Linked DNA regions of Schizosaccharomyces pombe. The gene in region 3 interacts genetically with the main gene of each other region. Each region holds a gene or a part of one and is shown on either strand. Other genes may lie near its edges.

Evidence for each region. Genes that interact genetically often act in the same process or in processes that back each other up.
Region 1: mutations in slx9 (region 3) and SPOM_SPAC19B12.07C together harm fitness more than expected from each alone (negative genetic interaction), as found in Schizosaccharomyces pombe (one large-scale study listed by BioGRID).
Region 2: mutations in slx9 (region 3) and def1 together harm fitness more than expected from each alone (negative genetic interaction), as found in Schizosaccharomyces pombe (one large-scale study listed by BioGRID).

Annotation. Positions count from the first base shown.
Region 1 is NC_003424.3:4,893,920-4,900,292, reverse strand, and holds SPOM_SPAC19B12.07C (zinc finger protein), read left to right. Parts: upstream 1-3,265; 5' UTR 3,266-3,449; coding exon 3,450-3,883; intron 3,884-3,952; coding exon 3,953-4,168; intron 4,169-4,208; coding exon 4,209-4,518; 3' UTR 4,519-4,835; downstream 4,836-6,373. Other genes in the region: Atg8 deconjugator Atg4, read right to left, coding at 1,007-1,544, 1,728-2,152; rbd4 (rhomboid family protease ), read left to right, coding at 5,220-5,406, 5,457-5,673, 5,779-5,844, 5,888-6,194.
Region 2 is NC_003423.3:568,031-575,858, reverse strand, and holds def1 (RNAPII degradation factor Def1), read right to left. Parts: upstream 4,922-7,828; 5' UTR 4,799-4,921; coding exon 1,907-4,798; 3' UTR 1,539-1,906; downstream 1-1,538.
Region 3 is NC_003424.3:495,160-500,792, reverse strand, and holds slx9 (ribosome biogenesis protein), read right to left. Parts: upstream 2,737-5,633; 5' UTR 2,623-2,736; coding exon 2,620-2,622; exon of another isoform or gene 2,579-2,619; coding exon 2,063-2,578; 3' UTR 1,766-2,062; downstream 1-1,765. Other genes in the region: erd1 (EXS domain-containing protein), read left to right, coding at 388-1,509; dop1 (family protein DOPEY), read right to left, coding at 3,104-5,633.

The DNA of each region.
Region 1 (6,373 bases), 4.4 Mb from region 3:
AACATATTTATAGCAGCAAACAACCAGAAAGATCTTCGTCCTCACTCTATTTGTAGTTAAGCGAGCCCTCATTTATGACGTGATAATAGCAGCTAAATATTGAGGTATTATTAGACAAGTGATAATGTTTATCAATGTTACGAGGAACTTAAAGAAAAAAGTGGTATTCTACTCTTTAATATATCATTATTATTAATAAAGATTTATAAATTCAGGTGAAAAAGGTTTTAAGTATTCTATCGTTACGAATGAACCGTATTACTAAAATTTTTGCCCATATTTACTCTTTAGTTTAACTGATATACTAAAATAGAGAAAAGGCTCGATCAGAATACCCGTAATAAAAAAAAAAGAATATGCTTTAATTTATTATTACTTAAATAACTTTAAGCTAAGTAGCTCAGGAAAGGGCATTTGAGAAGATCACAATATTTATCTCAGGTAAGCAAAAGCAAAGAAATGAGAAATTCTGAGATTGCTGTCCAATCATCTTAGTAATGCACATTGTATAATATAAGTTTTTGAAATTTACTCACAGGGAAGAACATCAGATGAAAAGAAAAGCGTAACAAAGAGACATTAAAAACAAGAACAAAATCCTCACGAAATATAACACATAAACATCCATTTCAAATACGCACATTTAATAAAAAATCAAACAGACTCATTGTTTAACAGTTTTCAAAGATAAAGCATGAAATTAACAATAAGGAGACCGGTTGAATAGAAGGGAAACACTGACCAAATAATAGCACAAGCACAACTAAACGCTTAACGATTAAAAAAATATCCCTTTAGCCGATTTGGGATGGAGAAGGAATTCAAGAAACCGGGATAATAAATTTCCTTGAAAAACGTTGGATAAATAATTATTCATTAAGTTACTAAACCCAAAGCGTAAATGCTACTAGGGTCAGTTCATAATTACATATGTCATAAATGCGAAGTCGTTAGTATTATAATTTCAAATTTATAAATAAAACTTGAAACAGTAGTAAACAATGGATTAAAGATGATCTTCAACATTCTCATCCAAAACGAAATCATCATGTGTCTCGACTGGTTGAGGTTCGGAGTCGAAAATCTGAACTATGTCGGCAAAATATTTTTGATTCGCTTCAAATGAATGCCATTCTTCTTCATCTCGAATTAAGAACCCAAAGATCATACAGGGATCAAGATCTTGTATTGCTACTCTTCGTAAAGTAGCACTATGAAAAGTTTCCTCGGAAGCAGGCTGGGTGGTAGTGTGAGCAAAGTGAGTACAATGAGGATCCAGATAAAAAAAGTACTGATTTTGTCTTGCATAAAAGTAATGAGCAGACCTTGGACGACCTCCAGTGATGCCAACAAATGAACGAATTTCAAACACCTGAAGCAACTGATCGTAGTATGATTCATTAATTGAATCAATTCCTAAACGGGTAGGAATTAAAAGTAAAACAGGAAAGGAGACCTTTGAAAGTTGATCTCGGTATATAGCATTTCCATTCCTGGCAACATAAACGTGTAATGGGACGTCCGGGTTCTGATCACTTAATCGACTTTAACAAAAAGTTAGTAAATGTCATACTGACTGAATTCCAAAAAAAAAATAAAACGTTCAAAATTTTTCTTCTTTTTTTTAAAAAGGATAAAAAAGAACGGAAGAAATTCGAACTATGTGAAGAGATCAATTGTTCTTTTATCGACCAGAAAACTCAATTTAAATAACAAGAAACACTTACGCAACACAAGAACAAGATGTTGTAGGTCCAAACCATTGCCCTGGATTAATATCGCACAAAGTTTTGCCCATTGTAACAAATTGATGGATAGAAAAAGGGGCTGAAGGCTCATCAGCAAATAGTGCCAATATTTCTTTCAATTGTTTTTCAGGATAGCAGATTCGTAAACAATTTGCTAATAGTGTCTGAGTGGATCGAATCATACAACCCCAACCGGTGTCAGATGTCATATTTTCAAGCCCTTCAATACCACTACGATAAGTGATTGTAATAAGAGAGAATGAGTCGTATAAAAATTTTTCAGGCCATTGGCTATCTTCAATTTTGTAAGAATGTCCTAAAAACCAAATTAATGTCCCTGGAGGCTCGGTGTTTGTCGGTGCAAAATGTAAATATCGCTCTAGAAAGCGAGCCATAAGCTCCATTCCCCTTTTTGAAATTTTTTTCTATTACCTTTATTTTTTCTCAAAATATTTAAACCAAACTTCACGTCGTCAGATGTTCACATGAAAGCGTACATACACCCCCTTTAGACTAAGCAAAGGCTAACTTGATTAATATAGTGTTTGGGATAAGATATGGTGGGAGTGAAGTCATGTTTGCGAGTACTACTATGGTCTGCTAAATAACTTTACAAACACCTTAGTATTCGTAAATGATTTTGTGGAATTGTTTCAAATATTTTAATTAACTTTAATATGTCAGCAATACTACACTACGCTATGATACACTACGTTGCGTATCACTATATGTCATATGTTGGAATACTAGCTAAGATCCGTTTATTGATAATCACGGGTAACTATCCGTCTATATACATAGATACCCGTTGATAACAACTATTTAGAAATATTATAAATAGCGTTACAACTGAACCTCGTTCCTCAGTTCAGTTATGAGCTATATTAGTGATAGGTAACATTATAATCCAGTTAATACAATACCTATACTCAGTTGCTACTTATACAACCTGTGTATTGTAATATAATAGACCACAAGGAAAACTCACCGCAGTTCTACGTATCCTTAAATCAGATACCAAACTGCGTAGCTTACATAATATTACGTTAAACTACGATAAGTACTTACGACCTGCTTTATTATACGAAAAGTAAATAATGTGATACAATAACTGGAGCAACGCAAAAATCTCCGTAGTAAATGAAGTTCAGGCTTGCTCCATCACCGAGCAAACGAATAAATGAACAGTTTTGAGTCTAGAGACAAAAATATTATCGATTGATATTTGTTCAAAATAAAGGACATGAATTAGTAGCTTTCCATGCGATATATGTTTTCATTTTAAAGATATTACCAACAATTACAGTTTAAAAAAGATACAGAATCCACATAAGAGTGATATCTTTTAAATGTGCTTTTTAAAAGTAGAAATGCTCGATAGTAGTCAGTACTATAAATATTTTTTAGAGAACTCGTTTTAATTATCCTTTTTTGTTACTACATTATTCTCATAATTTTAAAGTTGATTAACGCAATGTGTAATTTTAGCCTCACTGCTGGATAACTTGGCCTATTCTATGCATATCCATACGATATTATCGGTGATCTAAGGAAGAAGGGACTAAAACTAAAGAAGTAAATTATTATTTATTGAATTCCGCATTACTTAGACTTGAAACTGTTTAATATATCTTAAAAGAATAAAAATTAAGACACTTGGTCATTGGGCAACTTCAATGAATTTCAAGAACACCGACTAGAATGAGTTCCGACGATGCTATAATAATTCGATGCCCTTTTGATTGTGAATTTGCTGGTGACTCGATTTCTTTTATAAGCCACCTTACAACTATACACAATTCGTCAGTACAGACGTTAGCTAAGAATGCTTATTTATGCGCATCAGAGATTGCCAATGAGCTCAACCAGAATCCAAATTTGAAAGACCAAGAAATACTTTTACTACAAATTGCTCAAGAAAATTCACTTAAACGAGTCTTAAGGCAACAGCAAAAAGAACGGAGAGAGGGAAAAATAAAATCCTTACAATGTTTGTTCTGTAATAATGAAGGTCTTTTAAACCGTCAAGAATGGTTTGAACATAGTTTTCACGTTCACGGGCTTAATATCGGATTAGCAGACAATATTGTTTACATAAATCGGTTACTTGAAAAGATAAAGAATGAACTAGAAAGGTAATCATATTTATCAGTTTTATTTGTGTTATTACTTCTTTCCGTCATATTCTAACATCGTTTGATAAGTTTTAGATGTCTATGCTGTCATGTCCCTTGCAAAAATAAAAAGCTTTTACGAGAACACATGAATAACAAGCGGCATTTCCGGCTTGACCCAAAATCGTCAGAATACGATGAGTTCTATATTATAAATTATGCTTCTGTTACAAAAAGTATCACCATTTCGCATTCACAGTTTGCAATTAATGAAGACATAAATGAAACTGATGATACTATATCTGAGTATGTATTCAAATATTCCTTTTTTTTTAACATTTTACAGTATAAATGATGAGGATGCAGAACCATTATCTGTGGAATGTATATTTTGCACTAATTTCTATGAACCAGTTTTTTGTTTTGAACATTGCAAAATCGTTCACGATTGGGATATCAAGAAAATTCAAAAGGATTACAGCTTGGACGTTTATGGGGCCATAAGGGTGATAAATTATTCCCGGAAAACTAAAAAGAAGTCTATTCCAGCTGAAACAGATAGTTTTTGGAAAGAGCCTGGATGGTTGATTCCTGTAGTGCCAGACGATGCTTTAATAATTTGCTTAAGTGAGGTGATTGAGGACCCTCGACTTTAGTTTGATGTTTCCTAACATTATCCTCTTGTTATGTATTTAAATAAATCACTTAACAATTTAAGGCATAGTTTCCTGAAGTCTCGTAAAGACATTAATAAGAGGGAAAGATATTTAAAAAAACGGTTATAATATAGATAACACCTACACTGGTCGCTGAGAAAGATTTGAATGTGAAGTTGAAGACACGAATTATTTATTTGACTTAATGTATGTATAAAAGGTTCTACCTAGTTTTATTGTTTTAGGCTGTCTTTATATATTTAACGGAATTATTTGTCTGTATTTTCATAAAAATGAACACCCTGTTTACTGTTTGCTAGATTTGCTTTATATAATTCTACTTACAATGAATCTTATTTCAATTAATCATAATAATTATATTTGCTGTTTACTTCACTCGATTGCGATTATTTGCAAAACTGTGATTAATTACTACCTTTATCTTTAGCAGATGGAAATTCTTAATAGTCATTGTATGTAAAATTATATAAAACTCAATATTTTCCCTTGAAAAATAATTGGTTAGTCGAACTTGTATTGCGATTGACTTTCATATACACCTTGGCTGGTATAACCAGCGCTTACTTTACCTTGCTATAAACCAACAAAGTCAATATTCCTAAAACTTTTTTAAAAAGGGAATATTTTAGACGAATTATTACCGAGAGAAGGTAAAAGGTGTAACTTAATTAATAAATAGCATGGCCATTGAACTAGGAGAACGTATTTCGACATCGGTCGGATTTTTAGCGGAACTTTTCCTTATGAAAATTCCACTCTTCACTGTGATTGTTGCCCTGTTAACTATCATTCTTGGAATCGTAAACATTTTCTTGCCTATCGTTGACTTTTTTGGCCTAAGCTGGCATAATTTAATAAACATTCGCCGTATGTTAGAATAAATATATATTCCTGAAACAAACTGACAAAGTACGCAGTTCATACCCTAAACACATATCCGCTCGTTCATCATGGAGTAATTTCTTTCATTTTAGGACTTTTAGGAATTTTTCTTCTTATGCCACGTTTTGAACGCAGATACGGAACATTATGTACAATCGCCATGTTTTTTGGATTTTTGGAAGTAATTCCTGCCATTGCATACTTAATAGCTTGCTATGTTGCTGAGTCTGACGATGTCTATGTTGGTATTGGGTATGTTTTTTGTCTCTCATAAATGATATTAAATTGTTTGAAAATTTATATCTAACTTTTTCACCTTAAAATTCTTTTCTTGGATATACATGCTAATGTTTTTAGTGGTTGGGTTTATTCGCTTCTGGCTATGTATCTCTTGAATCTTTTTGGAGATTTGCATCCCAAACTGTATGACTGTACTTATTCAACGTTATAATTAACAATATTTTAGTTTGAATCTTCCTCAAGTCGTAAGGATGGCATTAGCTTTAGTAGCTCCTGTCTTAGGACTTCCGTTAGATTTTTCAATTACGATCGTTTTGCACCTTACTGCTGTCGTTATTTCTATTATATTTTCCTTCGCTTATATGGACTTTTTCCTGCCACGAGGAGGCTTTCTTGTCTGGGTTGAAACGAAATTTTCTAAAATTATCGATGCTATCCCCAATTATATATCCGTGACAGAAGCTGCTTATTATCAGGCAGACGGTGCTATCCCTATTCAAGATTTGGGTAGTAACAGCAGTGGTATTGTATAAAAGCTTTATAGTTATATTTACTGTTGTACAAATTTGCCTACTTCTGTAACCGTTTCATATGTTTAATAATCCTTTAGCAAGTCAAAAAACGCCAAATCTCTAATGAACAGTATATTTGTTTCGTATGATTCGTTTGAAAGTAATAATCGTCGTTTTTTTTTTGAATTCTATTACAGTAA
Region 2 (7,828 bases), on a different chromosome or scaffold from region 3:
GCATCGTTCTTTTTCTTTCGCACGCATCCCCCGCCATCCTACATACTATTTTCACATTTACTCTATCCATCCCAAATTTACCCTAAATTATCTACCACCATTCAAATCCGCTCTCTACCCAACAACCTCATTTACATGTGCCAATTCCTAAATCACATGTTTACCATGATATGTCTAACGGTATTCGAGGCGTGATTTCTAAAAAGTCATGCAATTCAACATAAATTTTCCCCAAAATTCATCGATAATCCTGTTACCTTTTTTTGTTATAAATATTCATTCCCTTTTCTCTTTTCTTTCACATTTGTCAACGCATTCTCTCACCGTTTCACTTGTCTCAATAGCTTTTTTACAAGAGCGTTCACTCCCATTTCACTTATTTCTTGTCTCCATTTTTTAATTCTCTGTAAATTTTATCCAATTCCTTTCTCAATTGCTTTTATATCGAGAAACGAATTAATTTCACCTGACTATATTGATTTGTAACCCAACCCACTCATCATTGATCGCACTTTTCCTTACCCATTTGTTTACTGGATTCCATCCGATAACCTATGCAATCCTAAAATAGCGAGACTCGTGAAGTAACATACTGCGGGTCTCGCTATTTCGGTGGTGGTTTTCTTCTCACTATTTCTCTATTTCACGATGGGCAAATTTTTCTTTATGATGAAAATATCTTTTTCCCTTTCACGTTCCAAGTTCTGAAATCATTACTTACAAATTACTAAATTTCCTTTCTAACATCTTTCTCACTACTTTCCTAAATTACTCCTCGATGTGTTATTGCCATTGCTCCAACTTTCTCCGTTCTTTATACTTGAAATACAGTTAACCCTTTATAATGACTACCATTTTACTTGCTATTACGACTCGCTATTTTTGCGTTATATTGCTACTATTTTCAACCTTATAGGAATTAATGTTTCAAGACATCGATCTATTGAATTTAATTGGTTTGATTTGATTTGAATTATAATCTACTAGGAGTCTTTTTCCTTTTCAGAACTTTTTCTACGTTTGTGTATGACACTGTCTCTTCTTCAACTACATCTACATGAACGAATCTTGCCAGTAGTGAAGGTTAGACATTCTATTTTTTCATGAGAATTTTACAACAGCGACATGCTGTTTTGCTAAATTTGGATGTTTCAATTTGCTATATTTCTAGAATCAATAATACGTATTATACAAATTTGCTCTTCATTTCAATGTAAATAAAAGTATCAAGTTTTTCTATTCAGTAGACTTAGCGTATAGGGTTGACGTAGTGTTGTTGACTGAAGTGTGGCATATATTACTAGCGAAGCTTTTTTTTTTTTACACTTTGCTTTAGCGAATTCGCTTAACATTTGCCGTCAAAAATTGTTTAAAATAGGAATGCCGAGTGAACCACCCCCCTAAATTGCCAACTGATTAAACGTGTTTCATTAGCACTTGACTTTTGGAAATATAATAATCATTACTTGAAACTAGTTATCCCACTTCGCATTGCTTACCCACACCTACAAATACCTTAACATCAAATCTTTATTTACCCTTTCCCTCTTCCAAAACGCCAGTTTGTTTTAATAATGCAATAAAAAAATACTCTATGAACATACAAGGAATTACCATATAATGGCAACATTACGGCGTGGTATGATATGTTATGATATGAACAAGCAACATTTCAAACTACATAATTAAGCACTATCAAACAGAAAACACATGTGACCACATAGCCATATAAATCACACACATATATATATTGAAAAACTTCATAAATTCGATTGTCCCAATAAAATCGATTTTACCCTTCCATTAATAGCATCTTGTCCGCAATTATTTTTAGCCTATTTTTGAATCCTTATAAAAAGCATTTTCCAACTTCTACGTTATCAAACTTTTTGATCATAAGTTCAATTTAAGCATTACCGTACCAACCTCCTGGTCGGTTTATAAATGACTGGTTGTATGCATTATAGCCTCCTAATCCATTACTACCTGCATTGGTAGATGCTCCAGAGTTGAACGGAAACCCAGCGGGTTGGCTGTTTGCATTGTTGACCTTGTTAGCATTGCTTTGAAAAGAGGTTGTCTGCTGAGTAGCAGCATTGGTCAATGGCGTTTGTTGAGGAGGTAAGCCATAAGGAGAGGCCGCATTGGCACTAAGGTTTTCAAAACTTCCAACATTACCCATAAACATACCAGGAGCCGCACGTCCCATCCCTGACATGGAAGACAAACCACCCAAAGTACTTGACATGCTGTTCGCCCCGGTTACGCCTCCATTTCCAATCACAGAGTCACGATGTCCAGCCGCTTTCTCAGTCATGCCGCTAGTATTTGCAGTGGCATTATTAATTGGGTTGCTAGTTTGTGTTCCACTCATACCACTTACATTGCCAGGCTGTTGTCTGTTGTACACGTTGCTGTGTCCACCAAAGATGGGAGGGAAATCATTAAAGCCGCTCTGAGACATGTATCCTTGCTGGGGCTGTCCAAACTTGTTATTATTGTAAGGCATCGTACCGTATCCATAAGACACATAAGGAATAGGATACATTGGAGGAAATGCATAAGGTTGGGGCTGTTGTTGAGAAACAACAGGGCTAGGAGTCGCTGTTCCAGCAGCAGGTAGAGAAGTAGCATTAGAAGATGCAACCTTGTTATGCATTACCGAGTGCACATCTGGTGTATTCGACGCACTACCAGCGACATTATCATATTGTGAGTATTGATTACGCTCATTATAGTAATGAGCTGCTGGTGCAGCTTGACCATATTCAATAGGAGACATAGTAGTGTATGCTGGATGACTAGTCTGTTGATATTGTTGAGAAGTATTTGAAGCATATCCCAATTCAGTACTATGGTCGATGTGTTGAAAATTGTCGAATGGGCTATTGGCGGAGCGGTTTTCCACAGGATTCATAAATCTAGAAGAATATGGAAGTGCAGTTGTCTCCCCAGCATTTGAAGATGCAGTTTCGTTGTTAAAAGCAGCTCCGGTAGACGGAGGAATAAGACTAGCACCAGCATATGGTTGAGGGGAAATTCCATGTGTAGCAGGAGAATAAATACCGCCATATCCGGCACTTTGTTTACCAACCACCGGGCCACTTGTAGCACTTGTGGATGCAGCGGGTATAGTCGTTTGGGCTGATACTTGAGGAGGGATGGCCGAGACAGAAGAGGCGTTTCCACTGGCCGGTAAATTTACATCGTGTAAACCACGATATGGTGTCTCGTTAACATGAGATTCCTTCAAGTTTTCGGGAACCTTCGATTGTGGAGCACGGCTTTCATATGCTGAAGTGTGTTGTTTCTTTGGGATTTTGGTGGATTCAGCAACTTTGCTCGCCTCTTTTTTTGCCTCTGGCTTTGGTGAAACTGTCTTTTTAGGAAAATAGGAACTTCTTGGTCCAGACTGTGCTATGTTGTCTGAAGAAGACTTTGTCGATTTTTTGTCCTCACCCCCAAGTGTCAAGCTTCCGAAACGCACTTGAACCTTTTCGGGAATAGCAGCAGTATTAGCAACAGGCATAACGACGGGGAATCTATCAGAAAGTAATCGAGCAGTAGTCATACTAGTTGTAGAGCTTTGAGAGCCAACAGCGGCTTGCTTCGCAAAGGAGGGCTTAGGTAGGGAAGCAGAAGAGATGTTGGAAAGCCCAGGAGCGGGCTTGACTGCATTTATGGCAAATGGGGCAGTACTCTTTTTGGGAGCTGAGGTAGCTGTGGAGGGGGTCGTTTCAACATTTGCGGGAGTTGCAGAGTCCTGGGATTTGTGAGGGAAAGGAACAGATGAGGATGACAGTTCAGCAGGTTTTTCGTAAGCAGCGGAAACATTAGTTTTAGAGGGTTGAGAAGGAGCGATAGAGGGTTTAGAAGGTTCGGATTCGGGAGCGGGAGCGGGAGCGGGAGTGACCTTTTTCTTCGACTTTGCAACTGAAGCCCAAGCCTTCTTTATAGGCTTTGAAGATGCAACAGCCTGATCAGCCGCACTGGTCGACTTTGCTGAGGCCGAAGTACCGCCTGCGGTGCCGTTCGTATTTGTTGAAGCAGCGGTATTAGCCGATGTTAAAACTGAAGCTTGTTCATTAGATGTAGTATGATCTTTCATTGAGGAATCTTCATTAATAGTACCAGGATCAACGGAAGAAGACACTGTCGTTGATGCAGGAGCTTTGGTAGAAATTTCTGAGGAAGGAAGATCGCCAGTACCAGCAGGCTTTTCTAAAGAGGATGGTGCATGAACGGAAGAAGGATCTGAGGGAGCTCCTGCTTTTGATTTTCGAACCCCCCGAGAAGTATCCTTAGAAGCGGAAGGTTTCTTTGATTTACGTGTAGCATTACGAAAGGTGGAAGAGACATTATCGGAAACTGGAGCATGACTTGTTGGTTTGGACTTTGTTTTAGGGATTGGCTTCTTTTTAACTTCACCCCATTTGGAGGCGTGACCTTCAGTAATATGCAATATGGTCAGTTCCAAATCCCGGTCCGCTTCTTCTAAAGCAAAACTTAAATCATCAATCGTCCAGCTAGGAAACAGCTCTTGCAATACGCTTAACTGCGAATCACGATCAAATTCGAGCTCAAGCGCATTTGATCCCTCTATATTACTAGTCTGAGACGAATTTGCCGGGCCAGATTTTCCTTTGGTGCCTCGCCTTCCCTTCGCTCCTCTCTTGGCGGAAGAGGATGAAGTTTTATTATCTTGCGATATATTTAACGCTGTATCTGTGTGTTGCTTTTCTGAAACTTGTTCGGTATTTCCGACCTTCTTTGGCCGAAACTTTTTATTCTCACTCATTTTTGATTCTACTTTTCTTTACAAAAATTAATACAGGTCTTGAAAATCGACAAGGCACGTGTATTCGTGCTTCAAGACGATATGCAAGATTTTTCGTGTTATTTAAGGGTAGTGGTTCTGGCTGCGTTTTGGTGTCGTGCAGCATAGTGCTTTTGCTTAAATGGAAATTGCCTATACCAGAGCAAGGTGGTAGTGAATGCGCTAAAGTGCAAACTATAGCTTTCCTTGAAATTTTTATACATAGAAAAACTTATAACGTTATAAAGAACAATGTTATTGTTTAAATTTTACTTTACTTTTTCTTCATTTTTGCGATTACCTTTTCTAAAAGCTTGATTTATATAGTAGTGGAGTGCAGTTTACTATTGTATTTAACGATTTACCGTTGTGTATCTTTATTGCTCTTAAGACAATAGCTAGTTAGCTGCTTGCCTGAATACATGAAAATATGATGAAAGTAGAGCTCATTGTATTAACTTTTCTATTGCCCAATTTCTTCGATACTGTTAAAAGATGTGCAATTCGTTTAGCTAAATTCAAGTTGACTAAACACCTTTCGTTCCATGCTTTGCTATTACAGATTCCTAACACGTTGGTATGTTTAGAAATTTGCAATGCAATATCGGGTATTCAGTTGGTCAATTTATGAAAACTTTAATTACTGCTTCAAGTAATAATCCATCCGTTCTAATTACGCGGCTTCAGTAACATTCGAAGCTCTTCATTCACTTTGTTGGGTTCAAGTGAACCACACTTATAAACGTGATGCCCTTTATCTAAAAAAATAAATATGAAGCCTGCTAATATTAAATTAACAATAAAAACAAGAAACATTGCTTTGGCCGGGAATCGAACCCGGGTCGAATCGATGGCAACGATTCATTATACCACTAAACCACCAAAGCTTGTTAGAATGCTCTATTAAAAAGCATATATCTATTTAATTGTAGAGTTATAAAAACATAGAATATTGATAAAATAACATTATAATTTATTCAAAAAAACTAAATTGTACAGCTGAATAATCGCCTAGTTATATTAAGATAAATTCTAAAAGCATTATTATCAAAGTTTCTGTCAATGCTTATAACTAATGTGTCAAATGGTTTGATGAAGCGTTCGCATTATTTTACTATTTCATCTTTAATTTTGTCATTTTTTACAAATTTTCGTTGTTTTTTAAAAAAAATTGCTGTGAACTTTAGTAGTATCATCTCGCAATTTATATTGATTTTTCTTCTTTTTATTTTTATTTTATTTTTTTATTCAATTGTTAGTAACCAAAATTAAGTCACCATTTTTGGCAATTCAAATGACTAACTAATTATAAAATAATAAAATCAAACGTGCTAAGATTCTATGTTTAAATTGCTAAAGTCAATACTCTCTTCTTGTGAAGAGTCCATTTTCAAAACGACAACATAACAGAAAACTGTAAAGAGTAATGAAAAGAAACCCACATTTCAAGGAATAGCATATCTATCTATTGTTGCACTATAATTTTTTAACAAAAGCGGCACATTAGAAACCATTTTCTCAAATAAAAAATTGATTTTACATTGAAAACTGTCAACGATGAACAATAAACAGTGCATTCGTATGACAACAAGATATGGACAAGTTAATTCGTACGCTAGAATTGTTCTCAAATGTTTACAGATAGGTTTGATATATTTCAAAATCTTTATTTGTCACTATTTTTTACAGTATCATCAACAAAGCAGCATAAAAAATTCAGTGAAGCCGTTAACATTGTAAGAATAAAATAATATTCCGAAAAAAAAAGAAAGGAGCCTACAGCACCCCGGATTCCCATGTTGTCTCCAACCATAGTACTAACGAGGCCCTCAGACGCTTAACTGCAGTGATCGGACGGGAACTGGTGTTTTCGCCTAGGTGTGGCCGTAGACAGTTACTAAGCATATTTAATAAATTTATACACATACCTAAAGCTGCGAACAAGTATTAATCAGGTTTTGAAATAAATGTAATTTATATTCCTTCATGTGAAGCTAATAAAATAAATTGATAATAAAGATATCTTACTTTAAGTTCTCATATGTGTTTAAACTGAGTATTTACAATCCAGCATATTTTGTGTTGTTTGAGAATATGTCTCCAAAAGAAGTGCGTCTTCTTTTATATAAGTAGAAAGTAAAGGGACAAAACAATTTCAATTCTATTCATTCGAAACGCTTATCGGGAAAAGTATTTCCGATTCAGAGGAATAAAAAAGAAAGACAAAAAACTTCAGTGGTTTATTCAAATCAGCCAAGACGAGTCCCAAGTTAAAACGACAAACAGTATTTTAACATTATTGAAAATATCATAAACTAAACCGATTTCAACCCTTTCCAAAATCGACCCTTCTCGAAACTATTGGAAACCAGTTTATATGTAATACAATGGCAAGACTGAATTTCTTATAGTATGTAAAAGCACTGTTTTAAAGCATAATGAAGATATCTCTAATCCCAAATAAACATTGAGCTTGCGAAATTTACGAAGCATATTAGATTGTGTATCTAGAGGTGAGCCTACTTTTTTTATTTTTCTTGATTATCAATGAAAGAATTCTAAAAAATATGTAAATTAAATAGATATAATGTTGAACTTTCGTTGGCTTGTGGGTTGCCATTGAATAAAACTAGTTCATTATCCACCACTTTTCATCAGCCACCAAAAGCACATTCTGCTTAAACGTTTGGCTACAAAGCACGGACACATTGTTTTGCCCTCATTGATACTAAAGTACGTTTCTGATTGAATAGCAGCGAGACTTAGTAGCGTGTAGTCGCTTGACAGCTTTCTTTTTCCCTTCCGATAATTACAACTACTACTTTCTATTTCGAAAGCGTAAAAGTAGTCTTTACATGCTGTATTTTACTGTTATTCTTTGTTATAACAGGTTTTAGAAAAGAAGTAAAATCTTTTTCTTTTCAGAACGGTTATTCTTTTGGTTTTGAAGTTCCAAAATTTCTTTTGTTTCTAGCGCATTTAATTATTTTGAAATATTATTGGGCCTGCATA
Region 3 (5,633 bases):
TCGTCATATATTTAAAAATTCACCTTACTTTTTCATGTTTTAAGTTTTACTGTAAAATCCCACCATTCTTTGTAGAGACCAACATGATTCTTGGCTGTGGTGGTATTTAAGATTTTACCTTGGTGTACCCTATTGCATTCATTTCCACAACGCACCTCTCGACATTCAAGCAGTAATGCTAATCTCTATCATCATAGAACCCTTTATTTGATAATTTTCATTATTTATGAGTCAAGTTTTATCATCATAATTAGAAGATCGGCTGTACAACTTGACTCGACATATTTTACACTGTTTGCGTCTCTCTTTGTAAAAATTCATCCATTGTATAATTGCATTCAAGTTTATTTTAATATATTATTTCAGATTTTCTCCCTTTTATTTAATATGGCGTTGATAGAGGATTTGAATCACTTTATCAATTATTTTCCTCTAGTATTGAGATTATTCTTCTTGGTCGTATTTGGTCTTTATTCTTTCACATTGATATTACATCTATTAGTGATAAATAGGGTCGACGTGTTCTCATTATTACATACTCCGTTGCCTGTCAATCGATCACAGCAAGCTAATGCTCCTCTATGGCAATTGTCATTCTCCCTATCTATATTAGGTACTCTACTTTTCGTAATAGCCGAATCCTTATATTTGATTTCTGGGTCTGATGAATTGGCATACGTCCCCGTTTTTATTTTTGGTGTTATTGTTTTTATGCCTGTACATAAGTTCTGGTTCTTCCAGAGAAAGGTGTTTACTCGACAGTGTCTAAGGATTTTGGGAGGAAGCTACAGACCTGATTACAAATTTCCCGATGTTATATTTTCTGATTTATTGACTTCTTACTCGAGGGTCATTGCTGATCTCTGGCTAGCTGGAGCAATCTTGATTTACGTAACTGACTCACCTAATAACTCTCATAGAAAACAATATGAAAATGAGGTTATTATGTCAATGATTGCAGCGTATCCATACGCTATCCGATTTCGTCAATGTTTGATTGAAAGAAGCTCTGCGGATAATTCATCAGATAAATTTTGGAGTACATTGAATTCTATCAAGTATTTCACTGCTTTTCCAGCGATATTCCTTGGGATTTTTGCAAAGAAAAGATTTAGCTTTCTATGGTTTTTATGGAATACCTCTTCAGCTATAAATTCAACTTATTCATTTTGGTGGGATGTTTCAATGGATTGGAGTCTTCCCTTTTTTAAGCAACCGTTATCAATCCAAAACTGGAAATTTGGGGTTCGGCGTTTATTCCCAACATTCACATTTGCAGTTGTAAGTGCGATTGATTTTGTTTTGCGAATGGCCTGGGTAGTTCGCGTTTTGCCTGAACATCAATCCGCGTTTTTTACCACCGACTTTGGGATCTTTATAATGCAATTTCTTGAAGTTTTCCGACGTTGTGTTTGGGTTTTTTTTCGGATAGAAGCCGAAGCTTCTAAATCATTGGCCTATGTTAACATAAGTGATCGTAGTGACATCCCGACAATACATCCAGATTAAATGGAAATGATTGAAGTTACTATTGTCACATATGTGTAGGTATTACATCTGCAACCTTTTCAAAAAATTTCTTTCTTTAGGGCGTATCAATTTACCGTTCTATTATTTGCTTGGCATATAATATGTTTTTCATTCTTTTATTGCGCTAATGGTTTAATATTGCAAGTACATTGTCATTTGCGGACTTGCAACACAATGGCACCGTCTCGCTGAATTGGGTTTACTTAAAGTAAGAAAGTTACTTAAAATTTTATTATGGATATATACTTTTATTTGTTACATGGGAATCGTAATGGGTTTGAACAAATTTCACCATCTTTTACTGATTAAGTTGTTGAGTCAAAAGTTTAAAACATGAATTTAATAATAAATAAATAAATCAAGCTCTCTTTTTGCATACTGAATAACAAACTAGATCAGTAGACTTTTTTATTGTAAAAACATAATCAGTAAGTATGAAAAGAACCTCCCAAAGAAAACCCCCCAAATTAATCATGCATTTATAGTGTACTCAAATTCCTTCCAAATTTACCTAGACATGAGCATGCTCTATTTATCTACTATCCAAAGAGTTTCCTAAGTGCTCCCGTACCGTTTCCAAAGGATTTGAAACGAATGAAGGGTGCTTCAATATGGCTTGGAACCTTTCGATTTCCTCAACGGTATTTCGTTTCATAGAACTCTTAGTTTGTTTAGAAGATAAACTATCCTTAATTACGGGCTTCAACCTGGAGTTAGCTACCGAAATATCAAGATCAATTTCTGGAAGTACTTCTCCAATCGAAGACACATTGACTTTCAGGTTTTCTCTGGCTTTACGGTTCCGGCGCTTACGAGCCGAAGCAGATATTTTTGGATTAGAAAATTTTTGCTGCCAGTTGAAATGACGGTCTTTCCGTTTATCTTTCTTTGTTTCTTTCAGCGGATCATTGTTGAGCACTTGACTATTCGAAGTAACGGTGGAAGATAACTCGACATTTGGAATACTAGCTTGTTGGCTAGGTTTACCAGAAGACGGTAAACGACTTGATGCTTTTGACGCTAGACTGACTCTTTTTTTTGCTTTTGGCTGTTGTCGTCAGCCAAACGTTTATCTATGGATGAACATACCATGCTAAAATAAAATTGATTGTGAATCAATCGATAAAAATCGTTTTAAATGTTAAATAGGATATATAACCAAAATAATATTTACGATTGGAGTGAAATATCTTGAATATTCGGTGTGCTTTCTGGTTTAAAAATTCACTACAACTATTGGCATCGGATTTAACGGACTGCCCTTGATTGCGTAAGTTGGTTTCATAATATTAGTATTTGAAATGAAAAACTTAACTTACATTAATTTCCATCTTATGTGCAATGAATTAAGAAACAACATTAATTAACAATTTTTATAAATTAAAGCAGTTTTAAATGAATGTCCAACATGGTTCCTAAAGTATTTGCAAACTAAACCCTATAGCCATTTTCCGAATATAAACATTGAAACTTGAAAAGAAAATACATACAAAAATAATTAGGTTAGAGTAACTGGAAGTTACATAAGAAGCCACACAGCCTAGACTTCCTAATCGATATAAAATACTATGAATTAATTACTGGAGCCAGCCAGGCTTGATGGAGCCTTAATTGAAGAAAAGGGAGATAGGGGAGCATTAGAAAACCTTTGAAGAACTTCCCTGTAAATAGAATTTTCAAAAGATTGTATGTCGATTGTTGAAAACGAGTAGCTTTCTTCATAAGCGTCTATAGAAATGCGATTTAAAAAGTTTCTTAATTGAGCGTCCGTTGTGTAAATGCCTAAAGAAGGGGTTCTTGTAGTTGAAGTAAGAATAGAATGTTCGGATTCAACACTGGATTTGTCGTCCTTCTCCGATGCTTGCTCCTGAAGTCGCTCAGAAACCTTTTGTACGAGGGATTTACGGCTAGTTTTTCCGCTCCAATAGACAGCATCTAGTGGACTAAGCATCACAACCCATTCATGTAGCGCAAATTCTTCAAGTTTGAGTGCAGTTAAAAAATCCAAAAGCCTGCATGCGTCTAATAATGTCTCTTTAGAAATGGCAACATTTGGCATACAGTAAGATTTAAAAATGATCAACAATTCGCTAACAACGATTGGCCATAATGGAAGCAAATGCTTCGAAGAGGTCCTTAAAGCTAGAGCTCTAATAAATAAAAACAGGTCCTTTTTTAATACTCCTTCAGGATCAGACGTTATAAGCCGTTTGACAAGGTCAATCAGAGGTGGAAGACTAGGCAGGAAAAAATCACGTGGAGAAGATAACATTAATATTGTGATCCGACATATGTTGCTCTGCCTTGCACCTAGTTGAGTATCCCGAGATGTAAATAAAGTAGTAACGCCTAAATCAGATTTTGTTATGAGATCATTTAATCTAGATATCTCTTGGTACAAAGCTGTGTATATTACTGGAGAAAGCTTTCTTAATTGATCAATATCGAACCTGAACAGTGAATTATCATTAAAAATTTCCCAAAAATCGCGCCTCCATGATTTACTCAAAAACGGATGTTTACTCAACACGAGCAATAAGTCCAAATGATAAGTGGTGAGTGATTCCGGAAATGTCCTAGCCTTTACTAAAGGAGTTATAAATACATTGACGATTGATGTAGCCCAAGCAACTAGTTTATCTTCTTCCTTAGAAAGCTCGGTTATTTTTGGAACAAACTCAGAACAGAAAAAGTCAAGCAAAGAGGGATCTAAGTATTTTACGAATAAATACACGGAGCTAGTTTTCTTTTGTGTTTTGGCAACCTCAAACGTGTCTGCAGCAGCTTTATGATACGCCAGAAAATCTACAGTTAGGTTTGGATCACTTGATTTTCCTGCATGAAATAAGACTGAGGACAATGTTTTCCCCATCAAATCAATAAAGTCTTTTTGCTGGCGAGATTCGCAATAAGTGTTCACGTTTTTTGCAACTTCCAGTAGCATTCGTAAACATACCAGCAAATAGTTTTTAAAGCTGTTTGAGGAAGAAATAATCTCCCGAACAAATTTTGAAATTTCCGTAAAAATCTTAGATGTGTTTTCGCCCTCCACTCTGGAGACGAAGTCAGACATACAGCATAAAATATCGAGTTGTGTAATCTTTGCTGTCAAACTAGAAGGCCCTGCATAACTAGCTATTCCTTCACGTGCAAAAAAAGAAGAAACTAATTGCTTAACAATGTACTGAGGTTCAGAATCACTAAGAAATGAAAATATATCCCATATACACTGGCAACACTCAACATTGTTCTCCAAATAGATTTGTACCAGCGTTTCTACGCATTCAAGAGGTTCACAGAAGTAAAACTCTTTTAATCCCGATAAGGATGCTTCTTTTAAAACCGATGAATCATTCATAAATACTTTTGACGTTTTATCAGCATATGAAGACCGAATATGCCATGAATATGATAAAAATAATGTTTGCAAAGCATCCTGCATAGTTAAAAGCATAGATAATCTCTTGTTGACATCGATGCTAACGCCTGACGACTCCGCTGCAAACACACCAGAAATGACATTTCCGATGATACCATTGGCTTCTAAATTACTTTTCTTGGGGCCGGGTGAATATGTGAATTCCAATAAGGCTGCTGAAACTAACTCGCTAAGCATTTTCAACTTAGCAATAAAAACATCCATGCACGCATAATCTTTTACTGGGTCAGGGTATTTTAGGTACATAGACTCGTGTTGGTCAAGAAATGAATGAACAAATTTGCACAAAGATTGAATGGGATTAACCATCAAAAGTTGAAGGTTTTGTAAAAGAAGAGGTAAAAGCTTCTTTATAGCATGTAGCCACTTTGGCGAAAGTCCTGGATCATCATTCAACATTCCAACCAAAACAAAATTGGACAACAGATAATGCTGTTCAGAGGAAAGATCTATAGTCCCATCTAATCGAGAGAGTAAAAATTCTAGCATTTGCAAAAGACTCAAAATAAAACTTCGATAAGTTGATGAAGGAGAACGCTCAACTTCCTGTACAAGCGCAAACAACCCAACGATTAGACTAGATTCAAATTTTAGAGGGTTTTCCCATATGGAGGTTATTTGGTAAAGCAATCGCAAAGCCCAGGTTTGAATAATATACACATCT